Linked DNA regions of Macaca mulatta. The protein of the gene in region 2 interacts with the protein of the main gene of each other region in a pairwise test. Links are inferred from orthologs where the notes say so. Each region holds a gene or a part of one and is shown on either strand. Other genes may lie near its edges.

Region 1 (8,691 bases), on a different chromosome or scaffold from region 2:
GGGTTCACGTGCTAGAAACAGGATTGGACTAATTTAAAAACATAATTCTTATGCATAATAATTATATTCTTATTCATACTATGTAATTGTTTAGCTATGAAACAACTAGCACACCCGCCACTGAAAGTAAATAAAGATGTTCTAGAAAGATAAAGTCAAATATCATAATTTCCCATAGTGCTTAATTTCATCCACTTCTGATGCCTGATTAAAAGCACTGGCTCTAGTATCACAATCCTAGGTTTTAAGGCCTGCTTTGACACCTATCTGCTGTGTGACCTTTAGCAAGTGACTTAACCCCTTCAAATCCCTATTTTCCTAATCCTTATAGAAAGGATAACAGCATCATCTTACCAGGTTGCTGTTAGGATGAAATGAGACAATGAATACCAAGTGCTCAGTGACTAGCACAGAGTTAGCATATAAATAATGTTAACTACTATTATCATATTGCTGCTGTTATATTTTACATTTGAGTGATGAAAATTGGATAATAAAGCACTCATTTAATTCATTTTTAGAATCTAACACACACATGCACCTTCATTTACTATAATTAGACTCATTTAATTCATTTTTAGAATCTAGCTTAATAATACACACATACACACACATGCAGCTTCATTTACTATGATTAGACCACAGTAAATATTTATAAAGGCACTAATACAAAATCTTAAGTTGGATAGTATAAAATCTTCACTAATGATAAAATATAAAAAGAGAAATTAAATATTTTAGCAGGGTTGACAAAAGTAATGTGGCTTAAATTTTTCTCCTAGAAAGCTCAATAACATGAGAAAGTAGGAAGGGTAGTGGCTTAAGGATCAGGGGAATAGAATTTTAATTCTGGCTTTACCATTCCTAAGCTGGTGACCTTTGGATAAACCTATTCCTCTCTTGAGATCACCTTTCCTTAAGGATAAAGTAAGAGCAGTCATTTTTCTTTCAGGTTATTTAGTAGGACCACTCCAAATTTTGCTCTAAACAGCAGAAAACACCATGGGGTGTGGGTGCCACTGTAAATAGCCCTGCTAATTACTATTAATTAACATTTAGCCTAATTAATTACATTAACACGGAGGCCCATGAGACAATGAGGTCCTTAAACAGCTCTGTATTCTCAGCGCTAGACTTAGCACTTAGCAGGTATTCAACAAATGTTGTTGAAGCAATATTGATTTTGATATACTCGCTGGGTATCTTAAATACACTTTACACTAAGTTCTAAGTTAATTTCATTTGTAGCTCATTTTTTCTTTGACGATTTTATTGGGAAGCAATTTCTATTACTAACAATAAAGAAAATGTATGCATATTACTGATAAATGGGTGTCTCTGAGTTCAGAAGGAAAAACATATCAGCATAGGGGCTCAGAGCAAGAAATTAAAGGAAAGAAAGTAAGATTAATAAGACAATAAGATCAGTAAGGAAATCAGAAATAACTGCTGAAATTATGTAATCATCTAGGAAGTGCTGAACTGTTTTAAAATGTTGCTCATTCTCAGGCATTTCCAATGCCTCAATGGAAATGTTTCAATGGCAAAAGAGGGTTGGTTCATGGGAAGAGGAAAGATAGACATTTAGCTGCAAGTAACCTGTAGCAAGGCTGAGTTTCTTTGTAGTCTCATATTTCATATAAAAATTCAAGAGAAGCTTGCTTTTGACTACATCAGAGTTTGTTTTTATTTAAAAATGTTTTCAGTTAAATTACTTATATTACTTAATTCCCTCTCACAAATATTCAAGAAAAACTGATGTTCCAAAATGCATCCAGTGACTTCTAGCACCACCTAGCCACTGCCGAGTACGCATTTCCCAGTTGAAAAAGCATGACTCTTTTAATTTGACATAATATTAAAGTAACAGACATATGGTTTGAAAAATCCAGTGGAACAGAAAAGCTTAGAACGAAAAGAGGAGTCTCCTTCCCACCCTTTCCTTTCCCATCCCCAGTCCCATTCCCCAGAGGAAACTCATCAGTGTACAACTGTTTTTATTTCTTCTAAGGGTTACTTACGTATCTCCAAATAATGTTTATGTCACTATTTCCTGATTCATGAATTATAGGCCACATCCATATAACTCCTACTATGATAGATGAGAATCTGGTTCCCTCAGACCACCTGCCCCCTTCTCTCAATATAGTGAAATCACAATTTTTTAACTTAGGTCTATTTACATGGTTAGAAACATGTTTCTTTTCCACTCTAGATGTTTTCTTCCACACAGAGGATTGTTCTTTAACATTCCTGGCCTCCTGTCCTGTCAGTTATTCCTCCCCATGGAGGTGGAACGAGTTACCTGGTTGGTGGGTGATAACCATTGTTCTAACATCTCATTTGGGAGAGCCAGTCTCCCAAATGTGTTGAACTTGGGCTTTCGTTTCTCCTTCCCTCTCTACCCAAACAAATGAAAGGCACCAGCCTGAACAAGTGTTTCTCTCTGCTGACTCAAACTTTCTCTTGGATGACTCTTCCCAGGGCTGAACTGAATGGGAGTTAGCAAAACAAGCTACAATCACCAAACTAGTTTTTATCAGTAATAAAGGTAGTATTTTGTTCTCTTCCTATTGGCTCCTTTTTCTTTTCATTTGGTTCAGAACTTAAGGAAGAAGGCACTATTTAAATGGAATCCCAAATAACGCAGCATTCTTTCTTCTATGTTCCATCAACCAAGGACAGTCTTTCCTGACTTTCCACTTTGAAAACTAAGATCACTCCCTTCTCATTACCTCCACTCCCTCTTCCACCTCCCAGTTTCCCTCATTTGTGCTTTTACATTGTAAAGGTATTAAAAACCTTTGCTTTCTACTTTTAATAATTAAATACTCCCAGGCTACATAGATAGAATGCATAATTCTGAAGTATTAAAATATGGCAGGATTTTCAGGTGCCTGTCTAGTGCTCTCAGACCTTGAGTTAATTCTCGCTGTGTAAGGCCAGACCTGGGTGTTAAAAAAATACCTTTCCCATACTGTAGTCTGTATGTGATACCTCTAAAATAATGAAAGTTCCCCTGCAGAATTAACTCCCAAAGACAATTTCTTTTCTATTTGCCTAAAAGGAGTTTCAAATATTTTTCTTAAAATTTTGATTTACTACCATATCAATATTTAAAAGATGTTAAGTGATCATTTCTCCAATTATATTGGGCAAAAAAGTGTACATGCCCAAAGGCAGATATTTCTAGGGCTTTTGTTATCTATTTTACATAATATACATATATATTATACATATACTTTACATTATAAAAGTTGACATGTGTGCACATATATATACACATACATACACTTTTATAGCATTAACATTTAAAATAATGTTTGCCTTCTGGAATAAAAGTTATTTTATCCAAAAGACAGGGCATCAATTTTAAACCAGTTTTCTAGACTAAGAAAATCCTTAAGCATCTCTTTCAGAATAAGCCCCAAGATGCTGATAGCACACAACAAAACACAGAAGGACCCCTATAAAGAATTAGTGGATAAATATTTAAAATCTTGTTCTTGGCCTGGTGTGGTGGTTCACGCCTGTAATCTCAGCACTTTGGGAGGCCAAGGCAGGTGAATCACCTGAGGTCAGGAATTCGAACCCAGCCTGACCAATATGGTGAAACCCCATCTCTGCTAAAAATACAAAAACTGGCCGGGTGTGGTGGTGGACGCCTGTAGTCCCAGCTACTTGGGAGGCTGAGACAGGAGAATTGCTTGAACCCGGGAGGTGGAGGTTGCAGTGAGCCGAGATCGTGCCACTGTTCTCCAGCATGGGCGATAGAGCAAGACTCTGTCTCAAAAAACAATAAAATAAAATAAAATAAAATAAAGCAAAATCTTGTTCTTTTAACAGTAAGGTTTCTAAGTTTGTACTGAAACTCAAAATATAGCTTTTAAAAGTCTCCACCAATGCAGCAAGCTTCAAGAGAAGAAAAATGTATGACTCACCTCTTTGACAATATTGTGGGCTTCCTCAGCATTGAAGCCAACCTAAAGGGGAAACAAAAGGTAAAGCTGCTTTCAACACAGGCTTGCAGATATGACGCTACACAGAATATCCTAGGCTGGCCTAGACAGGTGTTAGTGACAGGAGACCACAGTGATAAAGGGCATCGGGTCTACAGAAGGGGCCAATCTTGCCCCTAAACACTTAAAAATACTGAATGCTTTCCCTACCTACCTCCCTGGAGATTGACTCATGAGGTCTGGGGAGAGCCTGCAAGTCTATATATATATTTTCAAAGTGCTTTATACTGGTGATTCTAATGAACATCCTAGATTAAGAATCATTGTATTGTAACACGTAGGAAATAAGCAAGAGGTGGCTATGAAGATGTTATGTGTTATAAGAATATAGATATGGTTTCAGCTAAGTGAGAGAATAAAGTGGTTCATAAGAAGAGAATGCTTAATAGACTATTTTCAATTTTGTTTTTAACTTATGCTAGGCAAAAATTTATAGGCAAAAATTCCTTTCCCAAATTAAAGACTATGAAAATACTTGATAACTCAAGATTAATATCACTTTAGTACTATACAGTGGTCTGACAACTTAAGTCTTTTCTTTGGAGTCCCCATCAATAACAGGAAGATGACAACTGACATTATGGGGTTCTGGTGAGGGTGGGGAAAGCCTGAGTCAGTAAGCAAGGGCTCGTAATCCATAAAGCACCTCCTTCCAGCCCACCCAGGCAAGCATCACCGGGAGCAGGAGTGGCAGTGCCACCAGGACCCCGAGACCCCGAGCCATGGGGGCTGCAGCACCTGCACTGAGGAAGCCAAGGGACGGAGGAAGCAGCGGGAAGACCCGTTTTCGAGGCCCGCCCGGTAGGAGGGCGGCGCCCGTCATCCCATGCCCACTCCTCGCACCCAAGTCAGGCCTCGTCCTCCCAACCCTGCCCCGACCCCACCGTCTGATCCGCGCGCTCCTGGCCACCCCTGCCACCCCGAATCTCAGGACTTCGGGGTGGGGAGAACGGGTAGGGCGGGGCGGATCCCTGGCCCTGCGGAGAGGACCCGGGCTCGGAGGACGCCGCACCCCAACTCTTGGGGCCGCCCTCGCTGGGAGACCACTCGGCAAGAGCCCCGCGCAGAGGAAGGCAGGAGTGGGGGGCGCTTCCAGGTAGCCAAGGGGCGGTACCTCGTCGCAGTGGCGATGGTACTCCTCCATGGTAGCGCCGGCTCTCCCTGGGGGCGGAGCGACGCGCCGGTGGAGCACCGCGGCCGCGCACTGGCCTCCGGGGAGGCCCCACCCCCGTTTATGGCCTAGGGCCTTTCCCTACGCATTCCCCGCCTTTGTGTCGCAGTGGCGTCACCTGGCAGCGCTGGGCGGGCTCCGGGCAACGCCAGGCGTCACTTCAGGCCACGCACTTCTTCCTTGCTTCCTCTGCCCTTTCTGGAAACAAGGGATGAATGTTAAAGAACTGGGAATGGCGCCAGTGTGGATCAGATGGGGTGACCTGTGGCAGTTAGTCTAGACTCCACACTATTGGTTGAGTGCCCACTGCTGTGGTTACTTGCATGTATTTGTTCATTCACCATCATCTGGCACATAAATGTAGTTAATTTCGTGGTAAATCAGTCACTTTGATTTGTCCACTTACTAGCTATGTTACTTGGAAAAATTCACCTCCCACAACCTCAGTTTTCTCATATGGAAACTTACCATCATACCTATTTCACTACTGGTTGTAAGGATCAGATGAGATGCTGTATACACGGCTCCTAAAGTAGATGCTTCTCAGCAAGAGCACAATGGCTACATTTTAAAATAAATGTAGTAATTTTAAATTAGTAATTTTAAAATAAGTTACTAATTTCCAGAGGATCCTAGACACTTCCTCAAAACCTCACAATAAGTCAGAAGAGTTAATTCTTCCATCACTGCTTTTATCAAGATGAACCTGAGGTATAGAGAATTTAATTTGCCCAAGGTCATACATCCAGTAGGGTGTAGAAAAGGGACTTGAGCTCAAGTAGTCTGATAGCAGAGCCCAAGCTCTTAACCACGGTATTACTTTCCTATTGCTACTGTAACAAATTACCAGAAATGTGGTGCCTTAAGGCAGCACAGACCTGTTCTCTTACAGTTCTGTTACCAGTGGAGGGTGTCCAGGTTCTTGGCGCTTTGGACAAAGAATCGGACAAAACGCACAAACAAAGCAAGGAAAGAATGAAGCAACAAAAGCAGAGATGTATTGAAAACGAAAGTACACTCTACAGGGTGGGAGTGGGCAGAGAAGCTGCTCAAGGGCCGGGATCCAGAATCTTCTGTGGTTCAAATACCCCCTAGAGGTTTCCCATTGGCCACTTGGTGTGCACCCCATGTAAATGAAGTAGTAGCCCACAATCAGAGGCTGAAGTGAAGTTACAAAGGCCACACTCTTATGCAAACATCTGATTGGTTGCAAGAAAGCAACCATCAGAGGCTAAAATGAAATTACAAAGTTGCACTTCTATTCAAAGACTTGGCCCATAATCAGTTTGATTGGTTGCAGACAGCAACCAATCAGAGGCTGAAGTTACAAAGTTACACTCCTATGCAAGTGTCTGATTGGTTGCAAAAAACAATTTGCAAATGTCTAATTGGTTGCAAAAAGCAACCAATCAGAGGTAGTTTAAATTTCCCATCGGCCCCGCAGAAAAGGTGGGGGTTTGCAAAGGGAATAGCCTCTGGTCCTTTTGTTACTTAGGCATGGAAGTTTAGGGTTTTCCTTTTATTTTTATTTTTATTTTTTGGGGGACAGAGTTTCTCTCTTGTTGCCCAGGTTGGAGTGCAATGACGTAATCTCGGCTCACCCACCGCAACCTCCGCCTCCCGGTTTCAAGCAATTCTCCTGCCTCAGCCTTCTGAGTAGCTGAGATTACAGGCATGCACCACCACGCCCAGCTAATTTTGTATTTTTAGTAGAGACGGGGTTTCTCCATGTTGGTCAGGTTGGTCTCGAACTCCCGACTTCATCAACCTCAGGTGATCTGCCTGCCTCAGCCTCCTAAAGTTCTGAGATTACAGGCATGAGTCACTGCGCCCGGCCAGGGTTTTCCTTTCAATTTAGTTCTAGGAAGTCAGCCTGAAACAGTTTTAAGTTCCCTGCCTCCTGACCCTATTCTGCTGCCTCAGTTCTGGAGGTCAGAAGTCTAAAATGGGCCCATAGAGCTGCATGCCTTCTGGAGGCTCCAGGACAGACTCTGTTTCTTTGCCTTTTCCAGCTTCTAGAGACTGCCTGCATTCCTTGGCTCATGACCCCTTCCTCCAAATTCAAAGCCAGCAGTATCTTTTCTCCTGTCTTGCCTCTGCTTCAAAGGAGATGTGAGGCATCTCTACAAAGGAGAGATGTATAACTCTTGCCCTCCTGTTTCCCTCTCAAGACCCTTAATTTAATCACATATGCCATGTGTCTTTTGCACTCTGTATCATATTCACAGATGCTCAGAATTCAGATGTGGACAACTTTGAGGGGGAGCATTATTCAGCCAACCACAACACTTCTATTTTGCTCCCCAGAATGAAAGTTGGAAACCATTAGTCTTCTAGTCCAACTCCCTTATTTTACAAATAAAACTGAAGGTGAAAAGGTAAAGTAACTTCTATAGGACACATGGGTGTTACCTGGACTCCCGGGCTTCTGAATCTCAGGCTCTTATTTTATGAACTTAGAACCAAACAGGGCTGTTTACTTGACAATATGGTGTTTGTTATTGGTTCTCCTAAGTTGTGGATCATGCAGGGTTACTGCAGAAAAGTGACTGTAATCATAGAGGAAGCGCATCCTCTTTACTCGGGAGGCTGAGGCAGGAGAATGGCATAAACCCGGGAGGCGGAGCTTGCAGTGAGCTGAGATCCGGCCACTGCACTCCAGCCTGGGCGACAGAGCGAGACTCCGTCTCAAAAAAAAAAAAAAAAAGAAAAGAAAAAGAATTTCTTTTTACCAAAGTTTTCATCCTATGAGCAACTCCAGCAGTCTATTCATGAGAAGGATTCGTAGTGTCTTTGTGAACATCATCAGTTTTATTTCCCTAAAGAACTGTTTCTATGCCTGGGTGGGTTAAATCCTTAAGTTATCTAATCTTAATACTGCAAGGGCTGCACCAGCACATCTCAAGTTTGTGTTATGTGATCATTCATGATGCATATAAAGTGAGATGAAGAAGTGTTGTTCCAGTTATCATTCCTGTGTAATAAATTACCCCAGAATTTAGCAGTTTATTTACTGTATTATGCTCATGGATTCTTTTGATCAGAAATTTGAACAAGGCACAGCAGAAATAATTTGCCTCTGCTCTGCGATGTCTGGGGCCTCAGGTGGGGAGACTCAAAGACTGGAGGAAATTCAATAGTGGGGACCAGAATCATCTGAAGACTTGTTCATTCACATGTCTGATATCTGGGCTTGGATGAATCAAATATTAGCACTGCCAACTGGAGCAACAACACATGGCCCCAATGAGTGGATTGGCTTCTTACCATCATGGCAGTCTTAGGGTGGCCAGATATCTTACATGGCAACTCAAAGCTCCAAGCATGAGTGTTCCATCGAGCATGGCAGAAGATATGTCACCTTTTATCACCTAGTGTCACAAGTTACACAGTGGCCCTTCTACCATACTCTAATCATTGAAACATTCACTCAGATTCAAGGGGAGGGGACACAGAATCCACTTCTCAATGGGAGAAGTGTCAAATAATTTGGGGGTCATG
Region 2 (8,912 bases):
CGCTGCCAAATTTTTGTTTATTTGTTTAGATGGGGTCTCACTCTGTTGCCCAGGCTGTAGTGCAGTGGCATCATTATAGCTCACTGCAGCCTCGAACTCTTGGGCTCAAGAGATCCTCCCACCTCGGTCTCCCACTACAGCCTGCACCACTACACCCGGGTTGGGTTGCCTATACTTTATCTGTGATTTGTGCACCTATATTCATGAGAAAAACTGCCCTGTAAATTTTCCTTCTTATACTGCCCTCGTTTGCTTTTGGTATTAAGGCTATGCTAGCTTCATAAAATGAGTTAAGTCATTTTCTTAATCTGTTTATTCTCTAGAAGAGTTTAAGACTGAAAATCTCTTCTCCTTGAATGTTTGTCTGTCTGTGGTTTTCATTCGATTCCCCTCCTCCCCTCTCCTCAGTCTTCCTTTCTCCCATCTCTTCCTCTCCCTGTTGCTCTCTTTGTTCCTTCCTGCTATATTCACTTTCTTTTTCCTTTCCTCTACCACCAGTAAGACCACCTTTGATTTAAAAGCATTACAAAATTGGCCTGAAGCCCAGGCATCAGGATTTTTATTTTAATCAATGTTTTTAACATTCCCAAATATAACATTTTTGTGTGTGTTTGATGTAACCAATTTGTACTGCCTAGCTGTGAAAAAAGAAATCTTGCAGTCGTCTGAAATAATAGTGATTGCTAAATGAGAATTTCAATTATCTGTTCGTAATTACCTATTTTGAAATATTTTTGAAATGAATTCAGTCCCATTCATGACGTGGTACTTCCAGATTTCTCTGCCTTGTGACACTCAACAATGAAGGGAAACAATTCCAGGATGTAAAGAATACATCAAAATTTAATGAGAACAAGAGCCTTTTCACAAATAAGCTATGCTGATTTTCCAGGTTTTTCTATAAACCTTCAATTCTATGCTTTATGTTTCATAGATATCCTCCCTCTCCTTTCAAATAGCACAAATGCGATTTTCTTGATGGAGCATTATTTCTGGATGGTAAAGATTACTTTAATTCTCTGTAAGAAAAACCTGGGATGTTTCCCCCCTTTACTTAGTTGAAATGTAAATATTTTAAAACCTTCCATATCAATATGGAAGTTTTCTCCCAGTGACTTAGTGGCTAAATACCAAATGCTCTTTACAAAATGCAAATCGCTTATTCAAAATACAATTAAATTATAGCATACATAGTTTATAAGTAATTATAGTCATATAATGTATGTAATTTGGATTTCTTTGGGTAAAAATCTATAAATGCTGCTACATTCAAACCAAGAAATAGTTCTTTTTAGAAATACACTATAGCAAAAATACCATTTTCAGGTAAGATGTAAAGTAAGTAGGGTAGGTCTTTCTGAAAGAATACCAATTAAGCCTTCCTCTTCAGGAATTCTGTGGGGGTCCTGTCAGTTAATTCGGTCATTTTACAATGAGAACAGATACCAACCTTGGAGTCTGGATTAATTCTATGGGTATGAATAATGATTGTTAAGATTACTAGTGTCCATTTTTTTTATCACTTCTTTTGAGCAGTACCCCCTCACCAAAAACAAAAACTAAAACAAAAAACCAAAAAACTTAATTGAATTGAAATATCCTAAAAGAAAGATTTCTGAGTTTTCATAGGTCTAACCAGAAATCCCATTAAACTCAATCTTTCGTGGACACTGTGATAAGTCACCTAGATGTCCGTCAGGAAGGACTTTGTGTTAGTTTCCTAGGGCTGTCACAAAAATTACCACAAACTGAATGGCCTGAAACAACATGGGCTTATTTTTTCAAAGCCATGAAGGCCAAAAGTGTGACATCAATGTGTAGGCAGGGCCTTGCTCTCTCTGAAGGCTTTAGAGGAGAATCCTCTATGTTTCTTCTGCTTCTCATGGCTCCAGGCATTTCTTGGCTTGTGGTTGCATAATTCCAGTCTCTGCCTCTGTCTTCACATGGCTTTTTCCTCTGTGTCTCTGGGTTGTCTCCTCTTCTATCTCTTAAAGGGATACTTGTCATTGGATTTAGGGACCCCCCCCAGGTAATCCAGTATGATCTCATCTCGGGGTCCTTATTTACATCTACAAAGATCCTTTTTCCAAATGAGGTCACATTCACAGGTTTTGGGGGTTACGATAGGGACATATATTTTGGGGGGCCACCATTCAATCCATTGCAGACTTATTCCCTGGACTCCTGGGAGAGGTGCCAGAAGGAAGTCTCAGCTGTTAGCCTTCTTTGGGGATTGCCTCAGCTGAAAGAAGCTGCCTTGTCCATGGTCAGGGTTCCTTCTAGGGGGAGCTCATAGCCAACACTGGTCAAAATGGGTACAAAGGCCAGCTTGGAGCTATACTTCAGAACTACTCCAGTTCCAGAGCTCACACTATGGTGAGCTGAGGCCTTCATTAGGTCTGCACCAGGCTCAACTTCTCCTTGGCCTTCGTCCTCCCCTTCCTCCTCTCCCTGGTCCTACTGGTCAGTGTCTTCTGACTCAGCTTCGCAGGGAACCCAGCCTGAAACACTTAGATGAAAATCATTCATTCATTCATTCATTCATTCACTCCTTTATTCATTCACTCATTCATTTTATTTCATTCGATAAACATTTATTGAGTACCTACTGTGTGCCATGTGCTTTCTTTCACAAGTATGGCACAATGATCATATTTGACTCTTTTGTAAATCAGGATCTTCTAGTGCCTCAAACTAACCATCCTGAACCTCATTTGTTAGTTGTAGATCTTAAAGGTTTAAGACAGGAACTCATAATTTATCCTAGAATTATCTTTTGTTTTGAATAAATCCCAGCCTAACATAAGCTTTTTTCTGCAGTGATATGCAATTTTTCCCCCAATAAAGGTACCTACAAAATACATCACTTGAGTGGTCTGATCTATCAGGATTTGTCTAGGTTCTGGATTTTCTGTGTTGTTTAAGGTCTATCTTTTAACCTTATTAAAATGGGTAAGTGGAGAAGAAATGACAGACTTCCAGTGTTAGAAGCACCACAGGATTTCAGAAGGTTAAAGCACTGCCAGAACCAAGGAATTATCCAGCCAGCCCAAATTCCTTGTATGACAAATGAGAAAACTGGGAGTTCATCCCATAGCTGCCTTCACCATGTAGAGTATGGGACTTCTATCTGGTTGTTGTATATATGGGGCTGGGGGGTGTCTTTCCATTTCATTTGTAAACTCCTTCTGGGCAAGATCTGAATCTCATATTTTTCTGCCCTGCTCAGTGTGTAGAAAAATAAGAAGTAAGATTTTGAATAAATAATTGGTTGATTGAGCCCTCTTCATCTAGCAAAACTGCTCCAATCATGTAGGTAGTCAAGGGTCTTAATTTTTTATATGCAGACCTCCAGAGGAAATAATGTCCCTCATCACTTGAATCCTAGGCTTAACAATAATCACTGTCAAGGAGTTCCTCCTAAAAAATAACCCAGCTTTACAGAATAGCCCCAAAATGTCATAAATATGCACATAATTTGTACTAGCCCTTTTCTTTGTAAGTAGTTCACAGATAATAAACCAGATTGGAAATAAAATCAGTACTTTTTAAAATTTGAAATGTTTAAATAGCTACTTAACCATTATTTTTACTCCACCTCATTCCATAAAGGATTCAAGGTCACTTACAATAAGACACACATTTCGATATTTTAAAAAATAAACATGATGTGAGAAAACTGAAATAGAAAATAAGATAAAGTACAGCATAATGTTAATATCCAAAGTTCATAAATTGCTAGTGGGAGGCCTGAAATCTGGCTCTGAGCATTCCAATTAATTGATAATAACTACTTTTATAGAAGGCAATAGAGTGGTCCAAGTTCCTAGTCATCAAAGTCTACTTCAGAGTCTACTTCATCCGAGATAATAAATCTAAGTCAATCACAGTAATCCTACCTCTTGTTAGTAAGTGTTTTAAGAATCTACATATGACTGAATTCTGATTAAACAGACACAGGAGAAAGTCTGTGGGGGAGGAGAGATTTCCAGGAAGTCTCCTCATTCTTAAATGAAAGACAAGAAAGGTTTGGTTCCTTTCTTTCACTGGATGGTGTTGTGGTTGGATATCATGCTTGGAACTGACAAGTGTCTTGCTATCAGCCTGAGAATGAAGCCAAGACACAGAGCAGGGAAAAGCCAATAGAATCCCTGCCAAGAGAAACTGATGCCCTGACAAGGTGCCCTGGAGCCACATGACCTCCGCATCTCTGGTTTTGTGAGTTATGACATTTTCTTTAAGACAATGTGAGTTGAGATTTTCTGTTACTTGCAGCCAAATGCATCCAAAATGATATAAAAGTAGCATTTAAGAACAAGGGTTTGAAATAGACCTGCTTCTGCCATCTAACTTGTACTATGTAAACTTGAGAAATAATTGAAGTCTTTAAACATGAGTCCTTTTGTCCATAAATCGAGGTAGATAATGGCTACTATACAGGGTGGATATAAACATGTAATGGAGAAAAAAGCATGTAAAGCGTTTAGAGAAACTAATGCATAGTAAGTGCTTGATAAAGAGATGATTTTAACACTGAGGAGAAATACAGATAATCAATACACAATTGTCTGGCTCTTTGAAGTGACGATGGAGCTTTCTGAGGCTGTAATTCAGGCTCTTAACCTGTCTTTAGTGACCATGGAAGACAACTGACCACTTCTTGCTGTAAAATAAGCCATTACACTGGGTGCGGTGGCTCACGCCTGTAATTCCAGCAATTTGGGAGGCCGAGGAAGGTTGATCACCTGAGATCAGGAGTTCGAGACCGGCCTGGCCAATATGGTGAAACCCTGTCTCTACTAAAAATACAAAAATTAGCCGGGCATGGTGGTAAGCACCTGTAGTCCCAGCTACTCGGGAGGCTGAGGCAGGAGAATTGCTTGCATCCAGGAGGCGGAGGTTGCAGTGAGCCAAGATTGCACTATTGCACTCTAGCCTGGGTGACAAAACAAGACTCCATCTCAAAAAAAAAAAAAAAGAATAATATACTGTATTTAATTCTACTTAGAATAATATACTGTGTAACATTTCTGGCACTATAGAACAATTTATTCCTTTTGTATTTGTAATTTTTTAAAAATCATGCAAATCAAAAATACAGAAGCAAAACGAAAATAAAAATAAGATATAAACCACCCCTCAGAGATAACCACTCAGTATTTTGGTGACTACTTTTCCTGAACACACACACACACACACACGTATATTCATATATATAGGATCATTATCTATAAACACTTATGTTAACTGGGGTTTTTTTTTTTAACATAACATTGCAAGTACATTTCCATATCAACAAACACATTTCTGCAATTATATTTTTGCAACATCATTTATAATCTCTACATAGTACTCTATTATATAGAATCTGTATGTTCTATATTATAAGTAATATGCACAACCAAATCATTAGTGTGGGATCCTGAGGCTTTTCTAAGTTTTTGTTGTTATAATTAAAAGCACAATGATAATTGTAGCCAAATTCCTTTTAAACCTTCTTATTAAACTCTTAAATTCCTTAGTGTAATTTCTGAAACATGGACTTGCTGGTTAAAAGTATTTGTACAAAAGGCATATAGCGTGGTATAATGGACACTGGAGACTCAGAAGGAAGGTCCATGGGAGGTGGGTGAAGGATAAAAAAACTACATATTAGATACAATGTACACTAAAATCTCAGCCTTCACCATTATACAATTCATTCATGTAACCAAAAATCACTTGTAACCCCAAAGCTACTGAAATAAATATATATATATAATTTAAAAAATAAATACTTAAAAAACAAAGTATTTGTACAATGTTCTTTTAAACATATATTGCAAATTTCAAAATGTACATTTAAATATTTTTATAAATAATGTTTCTACTTACAGAAAATTATATTGGCCTTTTAAATAATTACACCAAAATTTTCAGTTTATTTCTCTATACCTAACAGCATCATAACAAGGTTATTACATTATGATGGTGATGAACTTACTATTCTGAAATTGTAGGTTTTATTTTTACTCAAAGTTAAAATTCTTCCATTATTTACTAGCTTCACGCTTTCTTGAATTTCTTCCACACTTGGAATACCAATAATTGGGGTTTATAGCCCAATCTTTTGGTCTCTTAATGTAGGTAAATCTCTTTTGTAGTTCTATTCATCTTTTGATTAACTTGATCATATTGCATAGAACAGTAAGCTGCCACTATTTAAGTGAATTCAATGAAGGCAATGCTAGGCCTTTTTGATTTGCAAATTTACTTGAAAAGCCATGTCCATATAGCAGTTAAATGCTCAGTCTTTTGATATTAGCACAGCATGAAAAGCAACAGTTTTTATATTTTGGTGGCATACATTTACTTTAAAAACACACATACATATATATAGGCATTTCCTACCATGATATGCTTTATTGCTTATAGACATGAAATAAAAAATTTAGCTACCAAGCCAAATATTTGAAAATGTGTTTTGTTATTGCTTCTTATCTGTATAAAAGACCGTAGTTGCTTCCTTTTCTGCTATCTCAACCTTAGCAAACAAGAGTACAATTTAGCACTTTTCCTTGATGATTAACTGTCTAAAGGCCAAGAAAATGTCGATGGTTAGGCAAGGGAGAGAGTATTTCTACTTTGTATTTTAGCCTATATTCACAGCATAAACTACTTCATTCACACGAAACTGAGAAAAAGCTAGAAAAATATTACCATTTTAGGGACAACTGTTATGACATGCATGAGTCTCCCTAAGTAAATCTAATGTAAATAAAGAAGATGCATTAAAAGATAATACACTAATTCAATCTACTTGATGCACTGTGAACATGAGATTTGGCAGTTCATTTTTATGGGGAAATCTGATATTTAGAAATATAATAGATTGCACACTGGTATTATGACTCTAATCATCTGAATGAAACAATGAGCTAATTATCTATAATGACTCACTGTTATACTTTCAACACCTTTAGGGATCAATTTCACCCAAAAGTGAACCAAGCCAGTACCACATGGTCTGCTCTCAAGCAGTGACCTCTCTGATTCAAATGCAAAATGCTATTGCAGATGAAATTCACTGGTACAAAATGTTCAATAGAAAGATTACATTTCCAGTGGGGCAGAAAGATATTTGCCAGCATCTCATTAAGGCCTCGATACAAAGTCTTGGATTTCAATCAGCATTGAGATAGAATGACAATAATCCAGTAGCAAGAATGTAGCTAGGGCTTTGTTTCTGTAAGCATTATGCATTTTTCCCATCTAAAATAAAATCTTGAAAAAAATTCCAAGAGAATAGATATGGAAAGAAATAACCTTGTAGTTATTTTAGTGTCAGCCACAGAACGCGTTCTGTGAAGCCTCTGCGGCCTGATAACTTTGCCTCTCACTCAGGGAGGAGAAGGTGACATCATTTACATTTAGGCCAACACGTGAAAAAGGCTGAAATTCTCTGCACTGTAAATGTGGCATCAATTCTTCCACCTCTGCAGCCCCACCTCCCATCATTAATATAGTCCAGCCATTTTATCACCAGCATTTTCTTTTTCCCCTAGAAGTAATTTACTGACTTAATGGAAATGTGAGAGATTTGCTTTAACAGATTTTACGAATTTAAGCAAAAGGTCCTGCCGAAGATTTCTCTGTGGAGAGAGGTTATTCTTTGGCCAAGAGACATTTGTAATAGTTCAGTAATCAAAAAAGATTTGCCTTGGACTTGCTAATTTGCTCAATCTCTTAAGTAACAAAAGGGTCTAAACTCTGCCTCTCAATTTAAAGTGAGCCCCATAAAAGCGTCCAGCTTAGCAAGAAATCTAAGAATCCACAATGTGAGCTTTTAACCCCATTTCAATTTGTGCAAGTGTAATATCATTAGGGACCGATTTCTACTACAAGGTAGTTGTGGCTTTTCAGGGAATTTAGTTCTTTATCTAAGAGGTGGCGAGGTAGTGGAACACACGAAAGAGGACAAAGTACTGCAGAAATAAAGTTTGTTTTTCCTGAAGGATCAGAATCCGGGAACATTGCAAGAGAAAGCCTCATTCCTATGAAACTTTTGGTTAAATACTGCCAAGTAAGAATTGGCAAAATCTGGATTGGACTTTGATTAGGGGGTGAAAAATTCAACTGTACTCTTCTTAATTTTCATGGTTGAATCTGAAAAGGATACAAGTAGGCAGAACTGTGTCACTGTCTCCACAGCTGTGTCCCCAGTATCTAGAACAGTGCCAGGCACTAGGATACTCAATAAATATTGTCTGAATGAATAAACTGCAATAGAACAGAGTCGTCCTCATTGTTTAGTCATGGAAAGAACAGTTGCTTTGCCTTGGGTTGTATCAGTAGCCAGCCATTCTTTGACTGACTTTTTGGGGCTGGTTGCTGCGGCTCCTTCTGCATCCAGACACCTTTTTCTGGAATCAGCTAATCCAATTGTGCAACTTCATGGGAAAATGTATAATGAGTAATGGGGCCTCTTAACTGGGAAAACAAATAGAAGAAAAATAACCTGTGAATTTATCATCTTGCCCCAAACCTTGGTACGCTAAAAGAAATCTACACAATTGAGAGCCATATTTGCTGGAATTCCTGAAACAGTTTTGATTTGAAGTATCTTGTCTCCCTGTCCCTTAAGTCATTGACTGACCATGTGCTCATCACAGACTGGAAGGTAGGGAGAGCAAAGAACTAAGAGAGCAGGAAGGAGGTAAGAGGCTCTACCCAAGCTTAATTTGAACTAAATTATCTCCTCTAGATATGTCATTCTGTTAATTATTACAAACTCCATCACGTATGGCAAGCCTCCTACAGATAAGGTAAAAAGGTAATACCAGGAGCTGCAGGACTAATTATGGTTGCCTCATAAAGTATGTATGAAAAATCGGTAGCTAAGAAAATACAACACATTTTGGAAACTTGGAATA

The links.
Region 1: the proteins of DYNC1I2 (region 2) and DYNLT3 interact in binary tests that used the Homo sapiens proteins (3 or more experiments, as listed by UniProt). The two-hybrid records come from large-scale screens. The link is inferred for Macaca mulatta from reciprocal best matches to the Homo sapiens genes DYNC1I2 and DYNLT3.

What each region holds. Positions count from the first base shown.
Region 1 is NC_133426.1:37,661,742-37,670,432, forward strand, and holds the start of DYNLT3 (dynein light chain Tctex-type 3), read right to left. Parts: upstream 5,235-8,691; 5' UTR 5,164-5,234; coding exon 5,134-5,163; intron 3,984-5,133; coding exon 3,942-3,983; intron 1-3,941. UniProt on the Homo sapiens protein: Acts as one of several non-catalytic accessory components of the cytoplasmic dynein 1 complex that are thought to be involved in linking dynein to cargos and to adapter proteins that regulate dynein function.
Region 2 is NC_133417.1:76,580,975-76,589,886, forward strand, and holds the start of DYNC1I2 (cytoplasmic dynein 1 intermediate chain 2), read left to right. Parts: upstream 1-3,155; 5' UTR 3,156-3,159; intron 3,160-8,912. UniProt on the Homo sapiens protein: Acts as one of several non-catalytic accessory components of the cytoplasmic dynein 1 complex that are thought to be involved in linking dynein to cargos and to adapter proteins that regulate dynein function.